Arabidopsis thaliana: one gene and its partners. The main gene of each other region encodes a partner of the protein of the gene in region 2 in a complex. Each region holds a gene or a part of one and is shown on either strand. Other genes may lie near its edges.

Region 1 (5,977 bases), on a different chromosome or scaffold from region 2:
CAATACAGGAGGCTCAAATTGAAGACTACTTCAAACCGATAGACAAGCATGCTAGTACCATAATGGAAATTCAGCTCGAAGGAGAGAAGAAAACGATGGGGACAATGATGAACGCAACACAACAGGAAGCTATACGAAAGATTGAAGAAGCTGAGAAACTCGCTCGGGCACGTGGAAATGCAAATGTGACTACAGATGCAAACATGGGAGATAAGATCCAGGATTCAGAGTCCTCAGCCAACGAAAAATCTCAAGCAAAATGAAGTCAGATCTTGTCTTCATGTTGACACAGAATAGATTCAGCGTCTCTGAATACATCCTCTTAGTTGATTAAACTGAGATTGTAGCCTCGCATTTGCTGAGGTTTTAATAATTTTGAAATTTGGTCAACTGAATAGAATCAAAACCGAGATTGTGTTCTGTCTAGCGTACAAGAAATTATAGAGGTGACCCTGGTTGGACCATCCCCAACGACCACGTTTTGTCAATATATGTTGTTTCAAACTTAACTTCGCCTAATAAAGTATATTGTGATTTACAATGGATCGGTCTTACAGCTTAAAGGTTTCAACTTTCAACTTCGTGGGTACCAACACCAAGTACTTTTCCTACGTTTGGGGTGCGCATGTGTTAGCAGGATAAAAACGATGGTAACTAATAGAGTAACAAGACATCAAATGGCTACTCTTTTTTCTCTTTCTGCTGAAACCTCACGAAAGACATAGTTTGTAGAATCGAAGCATGATGTTTTGTTTTAATACGAGAAGAAAATGTGAGTTTCTTCTTGTTACCTGCTTTGGGTATGAAGAAACTCACGCATCTGATTGTGAACTTCGGATTTCACAACAAGTCGCATTCTCTTAGAGTCTTCCCAAAGAAGGCCTCTCCATTCCCGAGCAAAGTCACAAGCTGCCTCAAACACATCCTGCTAACATGATTTTGGTTAATGAGATTTACTATAACGGTTTTGCGTTATGGAGAAGAGAAAATAATAAGAGGGTTCAGGTTTGTTACTTTTGAAGGAAATTCATCATAGAAGTGAGCCTGGGTCATCTCAATTCTCTGCAGATCTGTCTCCCAAAGCCGAATCTGCCAGAACAATGCATTTTTATTCAACATAAGCCTGATGAATCAGGACGTAGAGATAGTATACACTTTCAATTCTATAAACCAATCCTATACACATTTTTGTATAATCGACACTTGATGGGCATAGAGAGTATAAACCTGATCAGTGACATTTTCTGGAATAGATGGGACTCGATCAGCACATCGTGGATGAGAATTCTGCTGGAGGAAAGTTATAATCTGTGACAATCAAAAGAAAAGGAAAAAATATTTATTCAGAAACTATAAAGAGACGCATCAACAATTTGATCAACATTTCAAGGACAGTGAGGATCCGGGCAAAATCATGTATTCGATAACTTCAAAATGTTTTTCAACTGAAACCAACTGTACCTGATCTGATGTGATGCCATTGTCAAATGCATTGTACAAACTTTCCTTTGTAATGGCACAAGCAATAAGGTTTGGAAGTTGGTACTCTATCCTGGAAATAATGAAGCACCAACTACTTAGACCTAAAGGATTTTAAGACACAGAAGAGTAAAGTTTCAGGTCGATGTTCAGGAGCTTCTACCTCGCAAATAGTCGTAAAATTTCACACTGTAACTTAGATGTGGAGTACGCATACATTCTGAAGTTTGTTTCCATCACGACAAATCCCTGATGAGGAACAACAAACAACAGCGATACACAAAATCAAGAAAATTGTTGGTAGCAGGTAGATATGGGACAAGAGGGGAATAAAAAAGGTGTGACCTCTTTTCGCGCTGATGAATCTGCCAGACTGACTGATAAATTTGTAGCCAGTTTAGTAGGAATAAACCAACTGTCTTTCCTTCCCTTCAATAATCATAAAGACTGGCTCAGCATGTGATATAGTTCTATAATCATAACTTTAGCAAAGTTTTTTTTCTTTTGATATTTGGTAATAAAAAAAATATTACAAATGGTCTAAGTCTAACCTGTTGAAGCTTGACTAATCCCAAGTCTGCAAGGTCCTTGAGGGTATTGTTTTGAACCTCTGTCAAGGTATTTAAGTTATATGCCTGCAATGTGTAAGCTCACCGAAATAATTAACAAGCATCCCGCTAAATCAAGTAAGAGTAAAAACAAGAACAAGAACGCTTGAAATGACTTTTTTGTGAAGTTCTGTTATACCTGACCAGTAACATGAAAACTAAGCTCCAACAAAAACGAAATCAAGTCTGCTGGATCTACATCTCGCTCCTGAGAAACACTGGCATTGGGTTATCCATTCGGCGAAATAGAGATATCAATTTCACAAAACCTTAGGAATAATACAAACCTCGGCATTCAATATGTATTCTCGAATAATGTACCAAAGCTGGGCATTTGTATCCATCAGCTGAAAATTGAGGTCAATCAGGTTACTTACATGAATACAGGTAATTATAGACCACTGACTCACGATTTGCATACCAAAAACTGAAAGCCACTCTCAGTTAATCTCGGGCCATCTTTGTCTCTGCAATATTACATGAAGTGTATCAAATAGGGAGGCTATATGCCACCACTATGCATCTATAGACGTGTATGAAAACATTACCTCTGACTCAATAAACCTCGCTGAAAAATTTTCATCATGGATGAACTGATGCCAGTTAGTTTTTCACCTTGACCCGAATTTATAAGTTGTAGCAAGAAACACTGACAAACATAAGTACACATCATCAGATACTAACCAAGTTCATATTAAAAGATATTTGTTTTACAAATTACTTCCACCTTACTAGTATTATCAATAAGAAATTAGGAAATACACACACCTCCCATTGCTTAAGTGCATAGGTTTCGAGTTCTTGTAGGCTTGGAAGTTTAATGGCATTGTCGGAGTTCATAGGCTCTCTAGGCAAAACTCCACTGCAAAATTCAAATTTAGCTCATCAGCATCTTCTCCAAAAGCCTAGAGAAAAAACGAAAAAGGAGAGTACCGTCAATGTAAAGATGTCTTTACCCGGAAATAATATGTTTCTGAAGATTGTTCTGAAATGTAGGATTTAGGCTGTAGCTGGTTCCCCTTTTCCTGCAAAAGTACGAAGAGCAGCTTAAGAACTAAATCTGAACTATCATCTTGCCACATACAATCATAATCAATCCAAACACAGTAAATTGAAGTATAAGATGAAGCTCATAGGGTTCAATGCTCAAGTTAACATCCACCATCACTCTTTTAAATAAATATATCAAATAAACCCTCCAACGTGAATAGACAGAAGTATTGAACTAACTGAAATAAGTCAAATCATGACAGTATCAAGAATAAAGCAAGAATGCATACCTATCACTAATTTCTGAAAAAATCCTTAATTGAATCAGTCGATCAATAGCAACTCTATGTTTAGAGGTGCCATCTGCGAGCACCCACTCCTCCATCATCGTAGCAGGTACAGGAACATCAATGTACAACATCTGCAATACATACTTCTTGGCAAGAGGCGGCAAAGACCTGACACCATCTTAAGAATGTAAGATCCTCAATTTTTTCAAAATTCAACAACATAGACACATAAATTAACCTGAGAATGGCTTCGCAGATAAAGACATTGTTGTAGAGTTTGTCAAGCTTGATGGCTGGAAGTGACGCCACCATGTCCATGAAATTTTTAGCAATGATCTTAACTTGCGGCATCTTCACCAATTGGATTCCCTTACTCACTGGACCGGTTCTAAAAGAGCACAGTTTCCACGAAATTAGGGTTTATGCCACACAGCGATCAGCTCGAAGCAAACCTAGTTAACTAAAGCATCTCCTCAAAAAAAACAAATCCAAAACAGTTCTAAACAAGAACTCCAGAAAACAAATAAGGAAGGATTTAAAGTTTCGGGTTCGAGTTTGAGAACAATACAGAATTGAATTTAAAGTTTAGGTTCTCTCTTTTCTCGATGAGCTCTTCTACAATTGATCCCGATTATTTACTACCCAGAATCAAAGAAAACTGACGAAATCGATCGAAGAGGATGGCCAAGATAAATTAAGTTTTAATGGGCCTTGTGAATACTACTAATGGGCCTATCTATATAACAAAAATCGCGCCAATTTGTTTTCATGAAAATGGTTGATTAGGGAGAGATATATGCTTGACTGACCAAAATGTAAACAAAAAAAGCTTACGAAACGTTTGATCATCATCTGATAAATTGATTAGTACTGATTTATTCCATCAAAATCAAACTCATACAAACCATTACAATCTTCTTAGTGAGACACAATACATAAATTATATATGAATCTACTACGATTATTTATATTATCATCATTAATTATATTGTCCTAGAGGGCATTATTTAAATATATTAGCCATTGCATACAGAAACCATAATAAATACTATATGATAAAAACACACTGATGAAAAGTGAATCAATTAAGTAAGTAGAATGTTGGAGTCGTAGGTGGCTCCGGCAGTCCAATCAGCGGGAATAGCGTTTGGCGATTGGATCCAATTGATTCCTGCGCTTCCGTAGACTAAGAACCTCAATGTGAGAGTGCCTCTAGGTGGATTCTGCAAATCATGAACCGCTCCAAACACTCTTCTCATACGTCTCCACTCTTTGCAATCCTCCTAAAATCATACATATACATGCATACCATATAATAACGTTTAACTTTGTTTCACAAAATCATCTAAGAGTAAACTATATATTTTGATCCTCAAAAACATATATCTAAGTTTCTCAACATCTTTGATTAAATTTACCTGCCAGACTTCAACGGCGAGGATGTCATTAACACCACCAACGTACAAGACAAGGATGGCAAGATAATGAGGATTGTAGCTTTTCTCATGGATCTTATACACCAGATTATACCCTGCGTATCGGCAAGGGATCCTTTGGTACTCAACGTTGACTACACCGAAGGAGTAGAGCTGATTTTCTGTGCCGGGTCGCGCCATACGTCCGTACGCCTTAGGGCTTAAGATGAAGTCCGTGCCATCTCCTTCTCCGGAGTCCGTAGCCACTACGTATACTCCTTCCTCACTGCAGTGTGGTGGTATCTTGCACCTCACCTTTTTATAATTCATAAAATAAGTTTTTTTTTCTTTCATAATATAAGTTTAGTAATTAATGACATAGCATATACTATAATAATATTTGATGAAATATTGATTGAGATAAGTAGATAACTATATATAATAACCTGGTAACAAGCACCACAGCCAGTTCCATTGTTCCATAGTCGCCATGAAACACCACTCACTTCACCGTTATTGATATCTCTTCCAAATTCTCCATACCCACAATGTCCCCCTGCATCATCAAAAAATTAATTAATTATTCTTATTCTTTCGACAAATATTATGTATATTCTCATAATGGAAAGTTATCATTACTAATTACGCAGTTAATGGACACTTAGTGGACTCGTTTTCAATCATATATGTATTTAGAATTTGAATAAACCTTCAAAATAAAACAAAACAAGAAACCTATACGTAGATATAAAACAAAAATAATTAGTTATGGCTTATAGTGAGATATTACACCAATGTATCTTTTACCAATATATAACGTGTACAAGTCTATACAACAACTAAGAAAATGAAAAAGAATTAAGGTACACGATGTATATAGCAATAACAATTTTAATACGTACGAGGATTTGCTTTGCAATCGGGGCTGCCATAATAAGTAGCTCTAGAGTTAACAAAATCGTCGGATAGACAAAGGAGAGGCAAAAGGACAATGACTTGAACAAATAGAAGAAGCAAAACGTGAGAATGCTTCATATTGTTGTTATCTTATCTATAAATATTGTAAGATTATTAATACTTCTAACTCTTTTTCTTAACAAATGATAGGAATTGATAATAGAATTTCTTATCACAAAAGATAGTGAAGATAGATGAGAGACTTAGTAGGGTATTTATAGCTGCAGCTAGAGTGCTT
Region 2 (7,644 bases):
GTATGTCATGTCAATATGACAAGCAATGAGTAACTTTATCTGTTTTTATTTTTTTCCTCACAATGAGTAAATTAATCATTCAAATCAAAAGTTATCCATGAATGCTATGTCAAAAAAAGTTTTATGTTGAATTTTATATATTTCTAATTTGGATTGTTGTTTGATGCGATTCAAACATTGAAATCTACTACGCCATCGAAGCATTTTCTCTATTATTGTCCCATTATTATAAATATTCACCAGTAACCAAATAACCAAACAATTATGGCACTGAGAGCTTTCTTGGAGCTGTAGTAACGTCCTCAAAGCCTGTAGAGAATTTACTAATACATTGCAAACTTAAAAATGTTCAGATCGAGAAAATCTCTTTGTTGTCTCTCGCAGTTAACAATATAACGCCTAATTAACAAAAAAAAGAAAAGAAAATATTACTACAATATAAACGCATTTTTGTATCTCAATGGTCGGACAAAAAGGGACAAATGAAGATTTTCAAAAACACCAACCAAGGCTGATGAAACAATTCAAAGATCTTGCAAAGCTTTTTAGTTTTAGTTTTTTTGTCCTCTATACGTAGCCGTTTGGTCTTTCGCCGCTCTTAGCTGTTCTTCTCTGCAGATCCACTTCGTAGTGATGGAACGCAGCGTCAAGAGCCTAGCAGAGAAAACCGATTAAGATCAATTTTCAAACCGGATTACAATGCAAGGCTGTAGAAACTGGATATAGATGCAATATGAGTGGAAAATATAGACTTAACCGAGACATGATGTAATAAAAGTATAAAACTCTTCCGTAGATATTGGAAGAAGCTAACCTGTTGCATTGGACGAACCAGTAGAGAAACCTGATGCCGGAGATCAGATTGCACCGACTCTTTCATTGCCTGAGTTACATGGAGTTTAATATCAAGGAAACCGTACAGTTGACCATATATATGCAAATAAGATTCGACTACAATACTGCATCAATTTTATTTACCCAAAAATTTCATTTTCGTAAACGCATTGGTATGATTAGGAACTACTGTTTTAACATAGCAGATTTACTATCAGTTGCTTATTCTGTCAGAAAGATGAAGAATTTCAAAGCTTACCTCAAGTTTTGAATATGTATTGGACATTGCATCCTTCAGTTTACCAACCTGCATGATAATAATATAACATCACAAGAATCGACGAAAAATATTTGGTATAATAACTTGCTCTTGGTGTATAATAAGATTAAATTTCCCGTGAAAGCCTAGGAATCAATATATATAGCAATTTCTGGGACTGGGAGATTTGAAAATTGCAATAACATTACCTTGGTATGAAGATATGTGGTTGTTATCGGATAAGATGACCAAAAATGTTTCAGTAATTCTTGTATTGATGTCCAATGCTGTAGATGAAAGAAGAAAAGTCCTCTTATCCATATGCATTACTACCTAATCTTCACTAACTAGTACATATAGAGCTTCTTGTCACTTAGGACACTGGAAAATGTCGGACTTACGTGTAGAACTTCATCCTTAGTGGACTTTGGTAATCTGTCCAGAAAGCTCTCTCGTGGGTTCTTCCCATTAATATTTTTAGCAGTTGCAATGGTTCGGGTTAACGAACTGAAAACCTGAATAGGGTTAGCAATTTTTAGCTCAGGCAACAAAGCAATAAGTAATGATTTCTTTTGTCAGCACACTTTTTATTATGTGACAGAATAGCACCTCGAAAGAAACTTCAGGCTTAATCAACGGATCACTTAATCCTGTAGCTCTAATCTCTAAAATGGATTCCTTTAGTAATCCATAAGCTTCATGGACATTTCTCTTCAAGCCCTTTGCTCCTCTGGGTACATTGAGGACGTTTCCTTGTTGAGATTCAAAGTAATCACGAGGATCCTGATTCCAAAGAAGAAAGGGTAAGCGGATTAACGCAGCATCCATCATCAATTGTGAAAACCTTATATTGGCAGAAAGCCAAACCTTGATAGAAAGCGGCGCCAATGGGAAATTTTGTGGTGCTTGAAGATCCTCCATTCCTGCTACCCGGGACATTCTTTCCAATCTCTCCTGATTAGCGTCCTTGGTGGTTTCACCATCAGCTTTGCTTACTAACAGGGGTGTAAAATAGAGATGGATAGCAAGGTCAGATGAATAAAAAGCGTGGCATTGTTTAGCAGAATGAAACATCATACCTTGTTTAACCCGTGTGAGAGCCTCTGCAACAATCCTTGTATCTTCTGACTCAACATCTGCTTTCCAATTACAGGAATATTATTGTATATTTACCACCAAGAACTAAAGTCAAAAGGCCAACATAAATGTTTACACTTCCTGAACTATCTACTGTTATAAAATATTCAGATAAAAAGATTCAAATGAGGTTCTTAGAGGTGTTTACCAATGCTTCTGCCTTCCAATACAACAGCAGCATGACGATTAAGATCTTGCAAAAGTGATCGTTTAAACTGATCATTTTGTGGTTCAACAACATCCATGGTGCCATCACGCTGGATCCCGTGGTCCTGTGTTATGGGAAAGTTATATTAAGTACGATAAAGTGTATTGAAAATAACGTTTCAACCGCATACAAAGAGCACAATGTCAATGTTAAGATTAATATTTTCTAGATATCAGTTTTGAGCTCCTTCTCACACATGCTAATATTAAAGTAGTGGTCTTGTGAAAAAGCAAAAGCACTAATTCAGAGTTATTTGAAAGAAACTAAATTCCTGATTTAACAATTCAAATTAGGTTCGCTGAGAATTCTAGAAGAAAGAAACAAGTGACACACATTGGTACAGGTTTGATTCTTAACACCGTTAGTATTATCCCAGTTCTTCCCATACTATTTCTACTAGGGATAGACAATACGTAAACATCAACACTACAAACCTCGATGAAAGACTTATTCTATGTGTGAATCTGTACAGTGTTAACTGAGCATTGAACTTTCCTTTCAACAACCATTGTTGCGCAATTTGGAAATTATCCAAACCTTTCACATGCAGTGGTAGTTGACTTACCATAAGATGAGTGTAGTCGTCTCCCTGGTCAGCCTCCATGTCAAGAGTTGGATCAACCCGTCTAATCTACAGAGATGACATTTAAATCAGATGGATATGCCACAAATATTTTCTTTTCAAACAAAATATATGATAAATGATTAAACCATAGAAGAAACCTAACCTTGTGACGAGTTTCCCGAGCCAATATCTCATCAGGCTTCAGAAAGACAGCGAGTTCCTCGTCCTCAGCAGCTTCTGCTGCAGCTACTGCTGTATTTTTGGTGCTGTAAAGATATTCTGCTCTAAAATATTTTGTCCAGAAGTCTTTTTCTGTCATCTGGCGTAGGAAAATAACTACCAAAGCCAGTTAAGATTCGTCGTATTTGAGGGTTAACCTTATAAACAAAGATGGTCACAGTGAGCTGGTCTTTGTTACCTTACTCGGAACATAATTGATGAATGCCTGCCGAACAGCTGGCTTCTCAGCAAAAATCTGAAAGCGTAATGAAGAAAACATAAGTAAGAAAAGGACTGTAGCAGTTACGAAAGTAACATTTAAGTTACTTGCAATGGATTTACTGGCTAAGCAAGCACAAGATAGAATGTGGGTGAAAGACTGTTAAAAAAGTTTATATTCCTCATTTGTAGTTTCAGATTGGACTAGAAGTTCAAGCACATGATGCAACCTGAACACCTAACAATGGATTTCTGACCCAATATATCACTAGCTGCAACTTCAACCCCATAACATATAAAAAACTTATGATGACGACCTTGGAGGGATTCAGAAACTGATAGAGCAGTTACACTAATGACAAACATAGTGAACCAAAGAGCTCACCTGAAAAATTATCTCAGGTGTCAAGTTAAACGTCACTCTATTAGTCTGAAAGAAGAAAAATGAAGAAAGTGGTTAGTAAACCAGCAGAGATGTCACATGATAATATGATATATATCAACATATGAATGTAATTCAGTCGAACACATCAGTGTATGGTCATATAGATGCATTGTTTCTTTCCTACAAAAGCAGGCACATGAAAATGCTAACTAAATTGGCTGTACTAACTGCCAGAAAGGAGTTGAGATAACTATACCATACCCGCCCATCAGTAGATGGTTTGATGCCAGAAACCATCATGCTCTTAAGCCCGAGCTGCTGTTTTGACTTTCTGATGGAATCTTTACCAAGTAATTTCTGCAGCCAGAATAAAGTCGGTAACTATGAAGACATTGAAGAGAACAAAATTTTTAAAAAAATCAAACAAAGAACCAACCTTTCTTGTAGCCCAGAATTCATCTTCAGTCAGTACTTTACTTTCCACAAATTGCTTATGCAATCTCTGCAGCTCACTTTAAATCACGTATGTTACTCATATTAGAAGGAACTTGATGAGCCAATGAAACTTTGAACCCAAAAAGGCAACTTAATGTTCCAATTACATACCTATTTTCTCTCAGAAGCTTGAAGCGCAGCTCCAATTCCTTAATACTGAGTTGCTCGGAAGATGTCGAGACAACGGATTTATTAGGCTCCAATTCACATTTAGCAAGGGCCTTAGCTGTTTATAGTAAAAAAGAGGTTACAGAAACACCACGAAAGAAAACAAGAGAAATACTTTCCCAATCAATAAAAGCAAACCAAGGGACATGGAGGTTACTGATGAAATCACGGCAAGCATGCATGTCGGGATAATTTTCAAACTCAAAGATATGACTCTTTGCCTACAATCAAGGATGAGGAAACCTCAATGAACACAGAGATATAGCTTCAAAATTCACATATCTATAATGTATCATAGCTTTAATCAAAAAATGTCAACAGAAAAAACCTGCTTGTTGGTGAGATTGAGCCAAGGAGGTTTATTTGATCCTTCTTTGGTATATTTTTGACCTGAGAGATTGAACAAACACAGTGAAATTTGATAATGACTATGCAGCTATCATCATAACTGAAATCGTTTATCAACACAACATCTATTATCCAATAAGCAATGTTAATGAGAAAAGGTACAAACAATACTTTTGATGTTCTGAGTAAGTACTTTGAGCTTAGAATCTGATTTGGGATCATTAGGGACGAAGAGCAACATCCCTTCTCTCTGCAAATTTTTCGATTTTGCAAAAGAAACAGTTAAGCTGAGAGATAATATAACTCAAATAAGAGCGAAAAGTGTAATCTTCATACAATTCTGAGAAATCCAGGAGTTCCTGGATCCTTGACAGTGCTCTTGTATTTGACTAGCTTCTCTATTTGCCCACCAGCCATATCCAACTGTAGAAACGGTGGTTCTCTGTTTTCCAGTCGATCAATTCATCGGAAATCAAGCGAAATTGGAATCTAGGTTTATACTATAGAACGGGAATAAGTATCCGACCCGAATCATGACCCAACTTACTGACCCGAATTAAACTGCTACGGCCCATTATGATTGGTCATGTGATAAAATGAACAAAAAGTCAAAACTAATTAGGGGCATCAAAATGTAAGATTCATCCTTATGTCGATTTTCATCTGATCAAAGACCGGTGTGTAGATATCCGACCAAGCTTTCTTGAGAGGAGAGTACCGGTTCGGTGGAACGGCTACTTCTCTAAACTGAACTTTCCCATCAGACATTTCATGAGCCTTCAAAGTTCAATGGCTTAACCGTCATAGGCTCGGTTTCAGTTGCGGATTGAATAGACTCTGCCATGGACTTTAACACCTTCAATGACTAAATTCAAACCTGTAAAATAGCATACAACACCTTAAATTATGATAGTCTCACGACTATAATCAATATGTACCAAATTCTGTAATCTCTAGTATAAATCAATAATGAGGATAGACACAGAAAAGAAGAAAAGATACATATTTGTGCATTTATCAACTAAATTGACATCGACAAAAAAAGACCACAAACCAGATAAAGCTTCAAACGATAGATTTTTTTTGAAAGCTCTATAGAATTGAAGCTGATTACTGTACAGAAGAAGAAAAGAGTAGCTGGCTTACTAGAGGATGTCGACGGCTGAAGAAGAAGAAGGTAGACGTAGAAAGAGTTTTGAGTTCGAAATTTGGGAGGTTTTTTTGATTAGGGATCTATTTATTACAGAATGAAACGACGTCTTTAATATTTTGGGCCACTAATAAGGCCCATTATTGACGTAGTTCGTTTGCCGGGAAAAAATAATTGAAAAAAAATCTTCATTTTCCAGCATCTTATGAAGAACAATATTCCCTCTCTTCAAAATTGGAGGAAGAGATGAAGCGAATCTCAGATTCGAAGATGAAGAAGGCGATGGTGGTGGTGATAGGTAGCTGTCGAAGGTAAGTTTCTTCTGCAAGGAAATTCCATTTTGTTGTTTTCGTCGTTTTCATTTTGCGATTCTATTAGACCCATATCGGTTTACTTGTCTGATTCTTCTTTTTCACTTTGATTTTTCCTACGCATGAACACCATCCATTCCATATATCAGATTCGTGCGACATTCTAGTTTCTGATTATTTGGCAGTCACAGAGATTTCCTGATTCGAGTTCGTTTCTATGTAATTTCCTCTTAGTTTTCCGGCATTGTGGCGGATCTCAGAGGTCTTAGAGTCTGATTTTGTTTCCATTGAAGACGATCTGAAATCGCTTATGTAGCTATTGATTCAGTTTCAGGGAGTTGTTTTCTGATTTTTTTTTTTCCGGAGATTTGGTTTCTGTAAACCATGTAGTACTCACATTGGTATGTAGCACAGATTCTAGTCTTAGAGTAGAAGAATGTATATATTCCTCTGTTTTGAATTTTTCATATTAGCTAAGAAACTAGTTGGTTGATTCTCTGAAACTACTGAACCATTCCTGTTGAATTTGCTTGTAGCATGATATGTTTTAACATCTGTCACCATTACAATAAACTAGGGAAGATTACAGATCATGGGAGGATATGTATGTTTAGCTTTTTAGCTTGGTATAACTTTAGTATCATGAATCGGGTAAAATTGCTAAAAGATGATTGTAGATTTTACTTTAAAAGTTCAGAAAACTATATTAGTGTTATAGATTAACAATTCAAAGTTCAAGCTAAGAAGCTCACATTCAATCAAATCATGAATTTACATGTTGCTGTCTTATCCTTGTAAGGACAATACTTGGGTTTTGAGTTAAAACCCCCAATACTTTAATCTGTACATAAAGACCAACAAATCCTTTTGCACAAAAAATCAGTGTCCATAAATGTATTTTGTATAATTATAGCACACATACCCTTTCTGATTTCCCCTAAAATCCTTTCCAGGTACTGAGGACTTCGTGGAAGATTTCAGAAATCAAATCTCTGTCTGCGCATTGCATGAATATGTTGAACTCGTCTCGGATCTCAAATATTTTGCCAAACTTCACAAGATATCTCATGCAGCTAGCCTTCAGTTCAGGTAATTGATAGAGATAAGCATTCTGTAGCCTCTCAAGCACATTCTTTGTGTCGATATCGTCTAGAAGACTCAAGTGGCACGCCTCTTTTAAATCAGCAATATCATATTTCTCAGCTGCTTGGAGGAGTGCCAATCTGTGTATAAGAAAGTCTTCGTTTTGGATATTGCCGTAGATATAACTGAGAAAAGCTTGGCAAGCATCAAGTGGCATGTCGAGTACGTTTATTTCTGATAGTTCTTTCTCTTTCAGGTCGTGT
Region 3 (4,695 bases), about 19 Mb from region 2:
AATATTATTAAATCACCCACCTGGTGGCCAAAGCACCCGTATCAGAGCTTTTCGTTATGGTTATCTCATCTTGGCGCATCTTCAGCGTAAATTCCGAGACAGAGGTAGTAGAGTATCTTCTTCTTAAAGGAGATCGAGATCGCTCTCGCCATTCATTCACCCTCCGTGGAGTCGCTCTTATTTTGAGCGGAGGAAGTTGATCACCGAGGAAACCAGAGATGGCGTCTTCGAGATTCCAGTCGAATCCTTCAAGGTAGTAGAATGCTGCATCTTTACACGCAGACGTTGCCTTGCAGAACCTAGTGACGTTAGTATCTTCTTCCTTCATGGTGGTGTTAGGGACTTTTCTCAAAGATTAAGTACGTTGTTTACTTATGACAATCACTAAGAATTGTTTCACTTAGATCTAATATAAAAGCTTCTAACAAACAGAGAGATATTTAGGGAAGTAGTTGCGACCTTGTCATGACAGTATCAACAAACAACTGATGATACGGTCTCCTTTTGTTTACCACCGAAATAATTCTTTATTACTACTGTTCGTTTTCTCATGAGTGAAGAAATTTCAAGCCCAAGTTAAATAGAAAATCAAACAATTAAGAATGCTATCTCTGAAAATTTGAGTCGGTTTGTTTTGGATCAATTGTGAGAGAGCAATAGAGTCCACAAAAGAAGAAAGATTTTGGTTAAGGACATAAGACCAATTACAACATCCTATATCACAAAAAAAATTGCTTCCTCTCATCATCTCAATTGTGATTTATAATTGGAAGTGTGAACACATTCATTCTCTCATTCTTCCATCAAAGAAACTGATTTGGGACGGTGAATGCTCTCACAGCCAGGACAGTTGTGTAAGCTCTCGTGGATGTATATGTCACAGTCCAGACAGAAATAGTGCTTGCATTTACGACATGTTACGCATGGGACGGGTTTATTCCCTAAGCAAAAAACAAAAGCACCAATGAGCCTTTATATTTGAGTGAATGGATCGGTTACTTTGTATATACTATGACAAGGGTGAACCGTATCTTAAGTTCAACTACTGGTCTAGTGACCAAATGGTTATTCAACCAACAGTATTAAGACTCTATAAAATGGTGTTCAAGTAGTTACCTGCACCAATTAGGCTCTGTTGGCAACCAAAACAACTCTTTCCCAATTTTCTCCGATTATCATTCAGACTTGAAAGTGCAGGCACCTCATCAAATGGAGCAATCGGGAAGAGATGATGGTATGATCTCGCCAAATGCGGCGAAGAAACAAGTGTTAGACCGCAGATAGTGCATTCCGTAGGGAGGTCACATACCCGAGCTTTGCATCTTGGGCACATGTAACCAGCTCCAATCTTAACTTCCTTATGACACGAACAAATCGCCATTGAACCCTCAGCAGCTCTTTGTGGGAAACCCATCTTGATCAAATTTGCAATTGCAAATTCTGCTATTGCCGGAGGTGGAGGCGCATGTTCAAGCAGAAGATCCTTTAGATGCACCTGCGTGAAAAGACAAATACACACAAAGCACAATGTTATACCATACAAAACAAGTTTTTCAAAGGTCCAAGTGTAAGTAGAAGGTAGCTAAACTCACCTCGTCCACTGCAACTGAATACAATCCGCCAGTTTCCTGGCAGAGGTGTTTACATATGAACATTTCTGCAGAGAGCCCAATTACAGAACATCTTAATTTGGATTTCTTGCATTTTTGAATGGTCTCCATGATATCGCCTGGATCACATGTGCATAAAGCTGAGTACAATATCAGAACCTCGCGGTGACCATAAGATGGAACCTGGTTGAGATGCTCATGTACAAGTTCCAGAGCGTTCTGCAAAGAGGAGTCACCCAAAGCTTCCAACTTCCCCATCAACGCTTTGATGTGAGTCTCAGGACTACCACCAAGATCTGTTAATGTATGCGCAACTCCATTTTTTATAGAGACCAACCCAATTTGACTCAGAGGATTCTGGTCAAAGAACTCTCTAATGAAAGCTTCGACATGTTTGGCCATTATAGCCATCCGGCTTGGTCTGAAATCCATTTCCGCAGCTGCCTAGACACGACAAAACAGTCCAAAGTGTAAGACTTTGCATACCTTGGAACTAGAGAAATTTGAACCCAAATCATAATGTTGCCTTCAATAAAGAATCTGAATAAGGATCACATCCTTAAGCTCTACAAACCCACTTAGAGTAAGATTATCATTGCAAACAATACAGAGCCAATTATAGAACCTATTGAGAAGACTAAAGAGCAGAGATCTCCAAAACTAGAACGACGATTACATTAAAGTTACTTATCAGTGACCCAAAGTGCATAGTTTCTCTTTTATATAAGCTCTGATGAAAGCAACATAAGCTCAATTTCACGCCATCAAACTCAAAGGAAACGGCATTGAAGCTAAAAATCACAAAATCAGCAGCAGCAGCGGCGGATTGCAAAGAAAAATATTTACCCGAGAGAAGTCAATGACGATGTAGAGATATCGAATAAGTCCCTTTTGGATACGAGTACCAGCAGCAGCGGCGGAGAGCATACGAAGACGGCGGCGATACTGAGCATGGTAAATGGCACTGTTATCAATTGGCCGTAAAAGTCCAGACTCATCCTCTTGCAACTCCTCCCAGGATCGGTCGTCAACATAAGCTCTCTCCCACTCGCCGATACCTTCCGCATCTTCGTCGTCCTCTTCTTCTCTTTCATCGTTTGATCTCTTTCTTTGATTACTCATCGTTAACCTCACCGTCTAAGAGACCTAATTACAAAAAGAAGAAGAGAACTCTACTGAAGCCAAAATTTACATAAACAACCCTTACTTATTATAACGTTCACAATTTTGACTGTAACTTCCTATTCTGTATATTTAACCCACCAATCCATGTCCAATCAGAAGTGAAACATTTTATTTTGCTTACACAATAGGAAACATTGATATTGAAACTCATAAAAACTTTATTATACAAAACTTAAATCACTCGATACAACCTTTATACAGCAACATTGAAACTTCTTAGTTCTTACAGCACAATATGATAATTTACCTAAGATCTTATTGAATCTTACAAACATATAGAACTTCTTCTTTGACTTTCTCTATCCACATGGTTACACATTAACCAAAGGTCTTGGCCTTTTAAGATTTAGGTCCCAGAATTTTCGAAAGCTCCTTCAAGATTGGTTTCTCCTTGATAGTATTACCACCTTCATTCTCAATATGCCACTTCTTCGACATGTTTTCAGCCTGAAATTTATGGTCTTTTCGGGTTAGTCTATTAATGATTATGATCCACTTCAGTTGAGAAGATGCAAGTATCTTTGTAAAACATTACCCAAGTTCTTAAGGGCTCTACTTGTTCCTTCATCGACTCCAGTTTTGGCTGAAAAAGATCTTTGCCTTTCGTTCTTATGTCATCAGCCTAACAGAACGAAAATCATACAATAAAACCAAGTAAGGCGATGATGGCATTCAAGATCAGTCAATAATGCTTAGAAATGCTAATCTAAATGATTTAAGTAAGAAAATGGAAACATATGCAATCTTACATTACGCATGTCAAGTTTCGAGGCTGCCGTTCCAAAAACCAAAGTGGCTGAACCAAAGATGATAATAGTAGCGGCTGCAAATGCTTTTCCAACTGCAGAAACCAGAAAAATCAGAGGGCTCGAGATTAGGCAAACTTTCCGAACACTTCACGACATCAATTAACATTAAAAGACAAAAGACAATAACAGAATCTCAATCTAAGCAATATTATCAACAATTTCTAGGCTGTGAGAGAGATACTTAGATTATTTGTCATCAGAGTCAAAAAGAGACAACCAGAAAGCAGTTGTTACATTAGACACTCATGAACCCTCAGCCACGGAAAATCTTGGCTTTCATAACCAAACAAACCAAAGTTTTCTCTAGTAAGCTGAAACCTTTCAGAATTACTGCCATTGCAGTCCCTAACAAGGTAAAATAGACAAGTTTGGGCAAGCAATTTACATGATCAACATTAACAAAAGCAAGGAAGTGAAAACAGAACACGTAAAGATAGCAATCCTTCTATCTCTAGCAAACAACCCAAATCTAGTCATGTTCCTCTGTAGGTAACTGTATCCATAAATCCAATTATCCACGTTCAAAAAGATTTGATTTGCAGATAAACAAAAGAAGAGAAGTGATCATACTATGTTGAAGCCCTTCACCAGCAGCTTTCAATTTCTCAGGATTTACAGGAGTGCCGTATCTGTCTCTCCTCAATTCATTAGCTGTTGACGCCAAAACCGAATTCTCAGATTCCGGTAAATCCCATCTGCAATAAAAATCGACACAAATTAACAACAAATCCAAAATTTTGAAATACTCATCAAGTGAAACAGAGTATAAAACCCTAATTTGAACCTTCTACGGCCGAAAGTGACTTGTGGCAGAGACACATAACCTCTGAGAGGATTCAAGACATCAGGGGATATAGAAACTGTTGCGTTCGGGTCAGATTCAAGAGCCCATTTGGAGAATTGGGAGAGAGACGAAGGATCAGGAGGACGACCATATATTTTGGAAGGAAGAGAATGGCGTAGAATCTCCGGAAGAACGTCAGGTTGAATTTCCGGTGGATCCGGCGGAGAAGATGGAAGCTTTTTGCCAGTGGCCGGAGATTTCTCGGCGAGACGATTAACGGCGTGTTTGGATTCTTGGAAAAAGTAGG

The links.
Region 1: AT1G55750 (region 2) and AT4G17020 share a complex: the UniProt entries of both Arabidopsis thaliana proteins name them as parts of the 7-subunit TFIIH core complex.
Region 3: AT1G55750 (region 2) and GTF2H2 share a complex: the UniProt entries of both Arabidopsis thaliana proteins name them as parts of the 7-subunit TFIIH core complex.

The regions. Positions count from the first base shown.
Region 1 is NC_003075.7:9,577,365-9,583,341, forward strand, and holds AT4G17020 (transcription factor-like protein), read right to left. Parts: upstream 4,076-5,977; 5' UTR 3,719-4,075; coding exon 3,606-3,718; intron 3,536-3,605; coding exon 3,368-3,535; intron 3,113-3,367; coding exon 3,044-3,112; intron 2,950-3,043; coding exon 2,856-2,949; intron 2,737-2,855; coding exon 2,636-2,736; intron 2,555-2,635; coding exon 2,509-2,554; intron 2,435-2,508; coding exon 2,375-2,434; intron 2,296-2,374; coding exon 2,227-2,295; intron 2,115-2,226; coding exon 2,031-2,114; intron 1,909-2,030; coding exon 1,825-1,908; intron 1,729-1,824; coding exon 1,643-1,728; intron 1,553-1,642; coding exon 1,462-1,552; intron 1,309-1,461; coding exon 1,228-1,308; intron 1,090-1,227; coding exon 1,015-1,089; intron 926-1,014; coding exon 792-925; coding exon of another isoform or gene 788-791; exon of another isoform or gene 703-787; coding exon 609-702; coding exon of another isoform or gene 575-608; 3' UTR 511-574; downstream 1-510. Other genes in the region: AT4G17010 (transcription factor IIIB), read left to right, coding at 9-263; EXLB1 (expansin-like B1), read right to left, coding at 4,453-4,650, 4,786-5,097, 5,229-5,338, 5,685-5,817. UniProt on the Arabidopsis thaliana protein: Component of the general transcription and DNA repair factor IIH (TFIIH) core complex, which is involved in general and transcription-coupled nucleotide excision repair (NER) of damaged DNA and, when complexed to CAK, in RNA transcription by RNA polymerase II.
Region 2 is NC_003070.9:20,839,882-20,847,525, forward strand, and holds AT1G55750 (BSD domain (BTF2-like transcription factors, Synapse-associated proteins and DOS2-like proteins)), read right to left. Parts: upstream 6,019-7,644; 5' UTR 5,984-6,018; intron 5,715-5,983; 5' UTR 5,255-5,714; coding exon 5,174-5,254; intron 5,088-5,173; coding exon 5,009-5,087; intron 4,880-5,008; coding exon 4,818-4,879; intron 4,711-4,817; coding exon 4,647-4,710; intron 4,548-4,646; coding exon 4,433-4,547; intron 4,339-4,432; coding exon 4,263-4,338; intron 4,184-4,262; coding exon 4,088-4,183; intron 3,872-4,087; coding exon 3,827-3,871; intron 3,479-3,826; coding exon 3,422-3,478; intron 3,323-3,421; coding exon 3,167-3,322; intron 3,070-3,166; coding exon 3,004-3,069; intron 2,503-3,003; coding exon 2,379-2,502; intron 2,230-2,378; coding exon 2,173-2,229; intron 2,089-2,172; coding exon 1,961-2,088; intron 1,877-1,960; coding exon 1,703-1,876; intron 1,609-1,702; coding exon 1,495-1,608; coding exon of another isoform or gene 1,441-1,494; exon of another isoform or gene 1,381-1,440; coding exon 1,303-1,380; coding exon of another isoform or gene 1,240-1,302; exon of another isoform or gene 1,142-1,239; and 7 more. Other genes in the region: AT1G55755 (uncharacterized protein), read left to right, coding at 6,234-6,285, 7,252-7,387, 7,638-7,644; AT1G55760 (BTB/POZ domain-containing protein), read right to left, coding at 7,236-7,644. UniProt on the Arabidopsis thaliana protein: Component of the general transcription and DNA repair factor IIH (TFIIH) core complex, which is involved in general and transcription-coupled nucleotide excision repair (NER) of damaged DNA and, when complexed to CAK, in RNA transcription by RNA polymerase II.
Region 3 is NC_003070.9:1,448,121-1,452,815, forward strand, and holds GTF2H2 (general transcription factor II H2), read right to left. Parts: upstream 2,782-4,695; 5' UTR 2,733-2,781; coding exon 2,457-2,732; intron 2,055-2,456; coding exon 1,593-2,054; intron 1,496-1,592; coding exon 1,117-1,495; intron 942-1,116; coding exon 793-941; 3' UTR 511-792; downstream 1-510. Other genes in the region: AT1G05040 (UBA-like domain protein), read right to left, coding at 21-328; AT1G05060 (coiled-coil protein), read right to left, coding at 3,135-3,242, 3,331-3,417, 3,545-3,636, 4,175-4,299, 4,389-4,695. UniProt on the Arabidopsis thaliana protein: Component of the general transcription and DNA repair factor IIH (TFIIH) core complex, which is involved in general and transcription-coupled nucleotide excision repair (NER) of damaged DNA and, when complexed to CAK, in RNA transcription by RNA polymerase II.